2 linked regions of the Xenopus tropicalis genome follow. The protein of the gene in region 2 purifies or fractionates together with the protein of the main gene of each other region. This does not show direct contact. Links are inferred from orthologs where the notes say so. Each region holds a gene or a part of one and is shown on either strand. Other genes may lie near its edges.

The links.
Region 1: the proteins of acvr1 (region 2) and tgfbrap1 purify together in Homo sapiens (co-immunoprecipitation; 3 studies listed by BioGRID and IntAct, counting the BioPlex papers as one, with this or other methods). This does not show direct contact. The link is inferred for Xenopus tropicalis from reciprocal best matches to the Homo sapiens genes ACVR1 and TGFBRAP1.

What each region holds. Positions count from the first base shown.
Region 1 is NC_030678.2:111,665,677-111,669,495, reverse strand, and holds part of tgfbrap1 (transforming growth factor-beta receptor-associated protein 1), read left to right. Parts: intron 1-832; coding exon 833-976; intron 977-3,557; coding exon 3,558-3,704; intron 3,705-3,819. UniProt on the Homo sapiens protein: Plays a role in the TGF-beta/activin signaling pathway. It associates with inactive heteromeric TGF-beta and activin receptor complexes, mainly through the type II receptor, and is released upon activation of signaling.
Region 2 is NC_030685.2:73,883,642-73,887,560, reverse strand, and holds the start of acvr1 (activin receptor type-1 precursor), read right to left. Parts: upstream 2,471-3,919; 5' UTR 2,131-2,470; intron 1-2,130. UniProt on the Homo sapiens protein: Bone morphogenetic protein (BMP) type I receptor that is involved in a wide variety of biological processes, including bone, heart, cartilage, nervous, and reproductive system development and regulation.

The sequences.
Region 1 (3,819 bases), on a different chromosome or scaffold from region 2:
TTTATATAAACTGTAGTAGTGTTTATGAAGCAAACACACAACTTTTACCAGTGCAGGGCAATAGTACATAATATATTAATTATTTTTATACACTTTCATTTTTTGGTGTTACTGTTCCTTTAAGATAGATGGGTTAGGGTTAACATTTAGGGGAACCTTAGTGGGTTCGGGTTGGGTGTGGATCACATTGTACACATTGTACATCTAAGGAACCTAAGGCACATGCAGAAGTAGCATACAGAGCAAAAAGACGCTGGTATTGGTAGCATGCGGGTCCTACAAAGGCAACGTTTTGTGCATTAGTGTCGGGTGTGGGTTGAATTTTTCACATTACAGGTATGGGATCCCTTATCCGGAAACCCGTTATCCAGAACGTTTCAGAATTACGGAAAGGCCATCGCCCATAGACTACATTGTAATTAAATAATTCTAATTTTTAAAAATGATTTCCCTTTTCTCTGTAATAATAAAACAGTACCTTGTTCCTGATCCCAACTAAGATATGATTAATCCGTATTGGAGGCAAAACCGTTCTATTGGGTTTATTCAATATTTAAATGATGTGTAGCAGACTTAAGGTATGGAGTTCCAAATTACAGAAAGATCCCTTATCCGGAAAACACCAGGTCCCGAGCATTCTGGATAACAGGTCCCACAGCACCCAAAGCGAGATGTTAATTTGAGGAACCACTCTTCCAATCATTTCCTTTTTTTTGATGACTAAGCATGTTTGTGTATTATTATTACAAACTTTATAGTTATTTATAAAGGAAACTTGTATCAAAGCACTATAACATTTAATCTAATGCAAACCTTGTGTTAATCCTGACAGATATGGGTAAAAATTATTAATGGGGAACTGGAAGACAGCACACGACCAGACCTATTTGAGTACGTAGTAGACTTCCTAACCTTCTCCAGAGACCAGCATCTTGTTTGGCAGTATGCAGACTGGGTTTTGCAGAAAAGTGAGCAGGTTTGTGGTTTTGTTCACAAGAACTTGGAGGGTGGCAACATTTGAAAATACAGGGGTGCTATGTTTCTGACATTGATCTTGGTAAAAGAGTTGATCCAGAGGAAGGCAAAAAACCCCATCTGAAACCTCTCTAATTTGCCTCAGAGGGGAAAAAATTCCTTCCTGACTCCAAGATGGCAATCGGACCAGTCCCTGTATCAACTTGTACTAAGAGCTATCTCCCATAACCGTGTATTCCCTCACTTGCTAAGAATCCATCCAGCCCCTTCTTAAAGCTATATAATGTATCAGCCAGTACGACTGATTCGGGGTATAAATGCTGTATAAAGTATAAAATCCTACCAGTACCTTCAGCTGTACCTGTACCCAATATTTGTTACTTCCCACACTGGTTTACTAGAAGAAGCATCATAGTAACTGAGGACTTGGCAGTTTATACAAAGGTTCCCCCTCCTGTAGTACCAAGCATTTCAATTCAACATCCAAGGCTAAACATAATAAAAATATACTGTATATAGAACTCATCATTACTACAAAAGTTAAACATTGTATTATATGGAAAATATACAGTGAGGAACATAAGTATTTGAACACCGATTTTGAAAGTTCTCCCACTTAGAAATCATGGAGGGGTCTGAAATTCACAGTGTAGGTGCATTCCCACTGTGAGAGACAGCATTTAAAAAAAAAATTCAGGAAATCACATTGTATGATTTTTAAAGAATGTATTTTTATTGCACTGCTAATTATAATAGTGAATTAGATTAAAAAAGAGAATCTATAAGTTATATCCCACTGATAGGTCCTGAATCAATATATGAACAAATAACAATATATTTAAGTGAAATAAACAAAACATTTATTGGCTCAAAATTAAACAAACAATTAAAAAATAAGCAGTAGCCATACTATACCAAACAATGGATAGGTGCATCCCAGTGTCTCATGGTACCCACTCTCCTAAAGTGTTTCGCACCATTGGGTGCTTCATCAGAGGAGGTCACACATATGCTACACAAGTATTTGAACACCTGAGAAAATCGGTGTTAATATTTGGTACAAAAGCCTTTGCTTGCAATTACAAAGGTCAAATGTTTCCTGTAGTTCTTGGCCAGGTTTGCACACACTGCAACAGGGACTTTGGCCCACTCCTCCACACAGATCTCCTCTAGATTTCAGGGTCGTCGCTGAGCAACATGGAGTTTCAACTCCCTCCAAAGATTTTCTATTGGATTTAGGTCTCAAAACTGGCTAGGCCACTCCAGAACCTTGATATGCCTCTTACGGAGCCACTCCTTGGTTATCCTGGCTGTGTGCTTCGGGTCATTGTCATGTTGAAAGACCCAGCCACGACCCATTTTCAATGCTCTGACTGAGGGAAGAAGGTTGTTGCTCAAAATCTCACAATACGTGGCCCCATTCATCCTCTCCTTAATACAATGCAGTCATCCTGTCCCCTTCGCAGAAAAGCACCCCCAAAGCATGATGTTACCACCCCCATGCTTCACAGTAGGCATGGTGTTCTTGGGATGCAACTCATCCTAATTTTTCCTCCAAAGTTTAGACCAAAAAGTTCTACTTTGGTCTCATCTGACCACATGACTTTCTCCCATGCCTCCTCTGGATTATCCAGATGGTCATTGGCAAACTTCAGACGGGCCTGGACATGTGATGACTTGAGCAGGGGAACCTTCCGTGCAATGCATGATTTGTAGTGTTCTACCGACAGTGACCTTTGAAACTGTGGTCCCAGCTCTCTTCATGCCATTGACCAGCTGCTCCCTTGTAGTTCTGGGCTGATTCCTCACCTTTCTTATCATCAGTGATACCCCACGAGGTGAGATCTTGCATGGAGCCCCAGTCCTAGGGAAACTGACAGTCTTCTTTAGCCTCTTCCATTTTCTAACAATTGCTCCAACAGTTGATCTGTTTTCACCAAGCTGCTTGGCAATTGCCCCGTAGCCCTTTCCAGTCTTGTGGAGGTCCACAATTTTGTCTCTGGTGTCTTTTGACAGTTCTTTGGTCTTGCCCATGGTAGTAGTTGGAGTCTGACTGACTGACTGAATGTCTTTAAAGAGCTCAGACAAGTGCTACTAATTTAGATTAATGAGTGGAGTAGAGGTGGACTTTTTAAAGGCAGAGTAAAAGGTCTTTGAGAGCCAGAATTCTTGCTGATTGCCAGGTGTTCAAATACTTATGTGCAGCAGTGCAATACAAATACATTCTTTAAAAATCATACAATGTGATTTCCTGAATTTTTTTTTTAAATGCTGTCTCTCACAGTGGGAATGCACCTAAAAAGTGAATTTCAGACCCCTCCATGATTTTTAAGTGGGAGAACTTGCAAAATCTGTGTTCAAATACTTATGTTCCTCACTGTTCAATTGAATTATATGGCAAATATACCAATGTTCAAAAACTGTGGAGTATAAATTTATAAGAACGAGTGCTGAAATTCCATTGCCTTTTACCCCCTCAAATGAACGTTGTGGTATATATGTCTCTTGCAGTTGATGTCTATGTTCTGAATTTGAGTGTCAGTCTGGTCTTTTACTACTGAGACTCTTTTATGGTTCTACAGGTTGGTGTCCGGATTTTTACAAAAAGGTCTCCTGAAGAATACACACAGAATGGCTTCTGTCCAGATAAAATTGTGAGCTATTTGTGCAAGTACCATAAGGCTTTGCTCTTGTTCCTAGAACATTTAGTCCTGGAGAAAATGTTACAGGTAAGGTTCTTGATTATTCTCTGCGTTCCATCCAACTTCATACCTTGATCAAAAGAATTAAAGTGCTAATATATCTTATGTATAGGGATTGACTGCTTTTGCTTCGTATGTCCAT
Region 2 (3,919 bases):
ATGCGCAGATTGGAAATGGGGTGATCCCCTCCAACCGTATTTATTATTGTGTTTATAGGAAATAAAAAGCTTGCCGGCTCTTTAAAAAGCCAGCCACACAAATGTGTTTGCCCGGTTCATAGAGCTCCATCCACCCACACAGATAAACATAGCTGGGAGCACACAGACGGAGAATTCCCGGGAGGAGAGCTGGCTGCATTCCCACAATATGTTTGCATAGCATTACACACTGCACTGGGGCTTTTTTTGTGTGGAGACAATTTGCAGTGTCTGCCCCCCCCACCCCCATTGACAGTCACTAGAGATGGGCCCCTGGATCTCACAAGCAGGGATACGCTATCTGCCATTCCTGAGATAAATCTTATGGGGGGCAATGGGGAGGGGAGCAGATCCCATGCCCAGAGACAGGCTCCTCCTTCCCAAAATAAATCTATTGGGAGATCCCAGCAGGACAACCTTCAGCCTCTGTCCTTATGGCCAACACTCTCCCCTATTCCCACAATTAAGCCAAAAAGGAGATGGGGCAAGTCTCCCCCAATCCCCTAACAAACCAGGGGGCCCCAGCCAGGGAGAGAGCCTCCTCCTAGCAAATTATATTCCATACAGGGATCTCAGAAGGATAATCCAAGTCAGACCCAGGGGCCACTGAAAGCTGCAGGTTGGACAGCTCCAATACAGATGTCTGGGGCCCTACTGAGACTCTCTACTGCCCCACTGAAAAGAACTGCTGCCCTTCTGGGCCCCACAAACAGTAAGGCCTGGGGCAGAATCCCCTACTTGCAACTCTCCCCCCTCATTCTCACACCCATGGGCCAGATAAACACTGTAAGGGTATAGGGCTAAGCTGTAGTTCTGCAACAACTGCATTGGGAAGCGCCTATTGCTAGAGCATGGGAATAATCCGCTACAACTGGCAGCAGGCACAATATTAAGCACACTACTGGCCCCAACTATAGGGGCACACTACTGGCCCCAACTATAGGGGCACACTACTGGCCCCAACTATAGGGCACACTACTGGCCCCAACTATAGGGCACACTACTGGCCCCAACTATAGGGGCACACTACTGGCCCCAACTATAGGGGCACACTACTGGCCCCAACTATAGGGGCACACTACTGGCCCCAACTATAGGGGCACACTACTGGCCCCAACTATAGGGGCACACTACTGGCCCCAACTATAGGGGCACACTACTGGCCCCAACTATAGGGGCACACTACTGGCCCCAACTATAGGGGCACACTACTGGCCCCAACTATAGGGGCACACTACTGGCCCCAACTACAGGGCACACTACTGGCCCCAACTACAGGGCACACTACTGGCCCCAACTATAGGGGCACACTACTGGCCCCAACTATAGGGGCACACTACTGGCCCCAACTATAGGGCACACTACTGGCCCCAACTATAGGGCACACTACTGGCCCCAACTATAGGGGCACACTACTGGCCCCAACTACAGGGCACACTACTGGCCCCACTACAGGGCACACTACTGGCCCCACTACAGGGCACACTATTGGCCCCACTATAGGGCACACTATTGGCCCCACTATAGGGCACACTATTGGCCCCACTAAAGGGCACACTATTGGCCCCACTATAGGGCACACTATTGGCCCCACTATAGGGCACACTATTGGCCCCACTATAGGGCACACTATTGGCCCCACTATAGGGCACACTATTGAGTACACTATAAGGCACACTATTGAGTACACTATAGGGCACACTATTGAGTACACTATAGGGCACACTATTGAGTACACTATAGGGCACACTATTGAGTACACTATAGGGCACACTATTGAGTACACTATAGGGCACACTATTGAGTACACTATAAGGCACACTATTGAGTACACTATAAGGCACACTATCGGGCACACTATTGGCCCCAAGTCGGTAGTTGCAGTTCAGCCAGGACCAGCCTCACTGCTGCAGAACGTCCTGGAATGGCTGAGCTGTCAGTCCCCCAATGTAGTGAAGGCGCAGCGGAACCAGACAAGCTCCATGCAGTCCAAGAGGTTCTGCAGCTGCGGGACAGTGGGCGCTGCTCTCCCCTTGGCCGGGGAAGGCTCAGCCCTAGCTCCCCGTACAGCCCATGGGTCAGATCTCTTACCTCCAGCCGGGGTCGGGCTAGTGCTCTGGAGCGAATGGGGTTTCCGGAGAGGGTCGGGCCGAGGCGAGGTGCTAGCGTTGCGACAAAGCAGCCATAGATCCCCGGTGCAATCAGCGAAGCATTCCGCAGGGCAGGCGGCTTCTCTCCCCAGCAGGCAGCCTCATCTTCCAGGCAGGACACCTCCCCCCGCACCCAGGCAGCGCACCTCCCCCCTTCCCCGCACCGGGGGGACAGATCCGATCTCAGTGCGACAGAAGCGCAGGGCGATATAGTGCGAGTGGGAAGCGGAGAAAGTTGTGCGGGGGGAATGGCCGGCGGCTGAACAGCGCTGAGTCCGGGGCTGCTACTGCGGGAGGAAGTGGCTGGCTGCCCGGGCTCCTCCAATGGGTGTCTGGGGCTGGAATGGAGCGGCGTTAGCACATCATTTCCTCCCCGGCCTGGGAGGGGGGAGGGGAGTATCCAGGGACGGGCGAGGGGTGGGGCGGCCAGGGCAGGTGAGGCACAGGGAGGGGCAGCTGATTGGGGCACTTTGCTCTTCCCTTGGGGGGGCTACAGGCTCCATTTCTATATGAGCGCCTAACAGTGTGTGTGTGTGAGTGTGTGTGTGTGCCACTCACAGCCCATACAGGGGCCGCCGCCGCCGCTGCTGCAGAACCTCTTAGCTGGAGAAATGCTATAAATATTTCAAGAAGTTTTCACATAGTTTGCACCAGGTCCAGTAACCCATAGCAACCAACCCATCAGCCACTTGCATTTTACTGGTCACTTGTTGGAAAGCAAGCATCTGATTGGTTGTGGTGGGACAAAGCATGTATTGGCTACTGTGGCCATAGTGGGTTCCCTGGTGGCAATTTATATATTATGTGCAATTGGAGGGGGGGGGGGTAGCTGTAAAGGAACAAAACTCTGCAACTGCCTGGGGGGATTAGTTGTGGAAATACAGTTTATATCTGTGCAACTATCTATAATGTATCTGATCCCCATTGCAGCAGTCCTGTCCTGCTTTATGGCTGAGATTCTAGCTATCTGTATAACAGGGCATTCTGTCACAGTGGCACCGATCCTATCTGATCCCCCCCATTGTAAGCAGCAGTCCTGCCCTGCTTTATGGCTGAGATTCTAGCTATCTGTATAACAGAGCATTCTGATCCCCCCCATTGTAAGCAGCAGTCCTGCCCTGCTTTATGGCTGAGATTCTAGCTATCTGTATAACAGAGCATTCTGTCACAGTGGCACAGATCCTATCTGATCCCCCCCATTGTAAGCAGCAGTCCTGCCCTGCTTTATGGCTGAGATTCTAGCTATCTGTATAACAGAGCATTCTGATCCCCCCCATTGTAAGCAGCAGTCCTGCCCTGCTTTATGGCTGAGATTCTAGCTATCTGTATAACAGAGCATTCTGTCACAGTGGCACAGATCCTATCTGATCCCCCCATTGTAAGCAGCAGTCCTGCCCTGCTTTATGGCTGAGATTCTAGCTATCTGTATAACAGAGCATTCTGTCACAGTGGCACAGATCCTATCTGATCCCCCCCATTGTAAGCAGCAGTCCTGCCCTGCTTTATGGCTGAGATTCTAGCTATCTGTATAACAGAGCATTTAGACCACAGTGGTCTGAGATCTCCTATTGGCTTGTGAAATACATTTCCCAACATTCCAGCCTAAGCCATTTCCCAGCATTCCAAGCTCCTCTCTCAGTGCTGGGATTTGTAGTTCATAGCAGCCGGAGTGTCAGCAGTTTGGCAAACTCCCCAAACGAGGTGCCCTAATACTGTTCTCCCCGCTCATG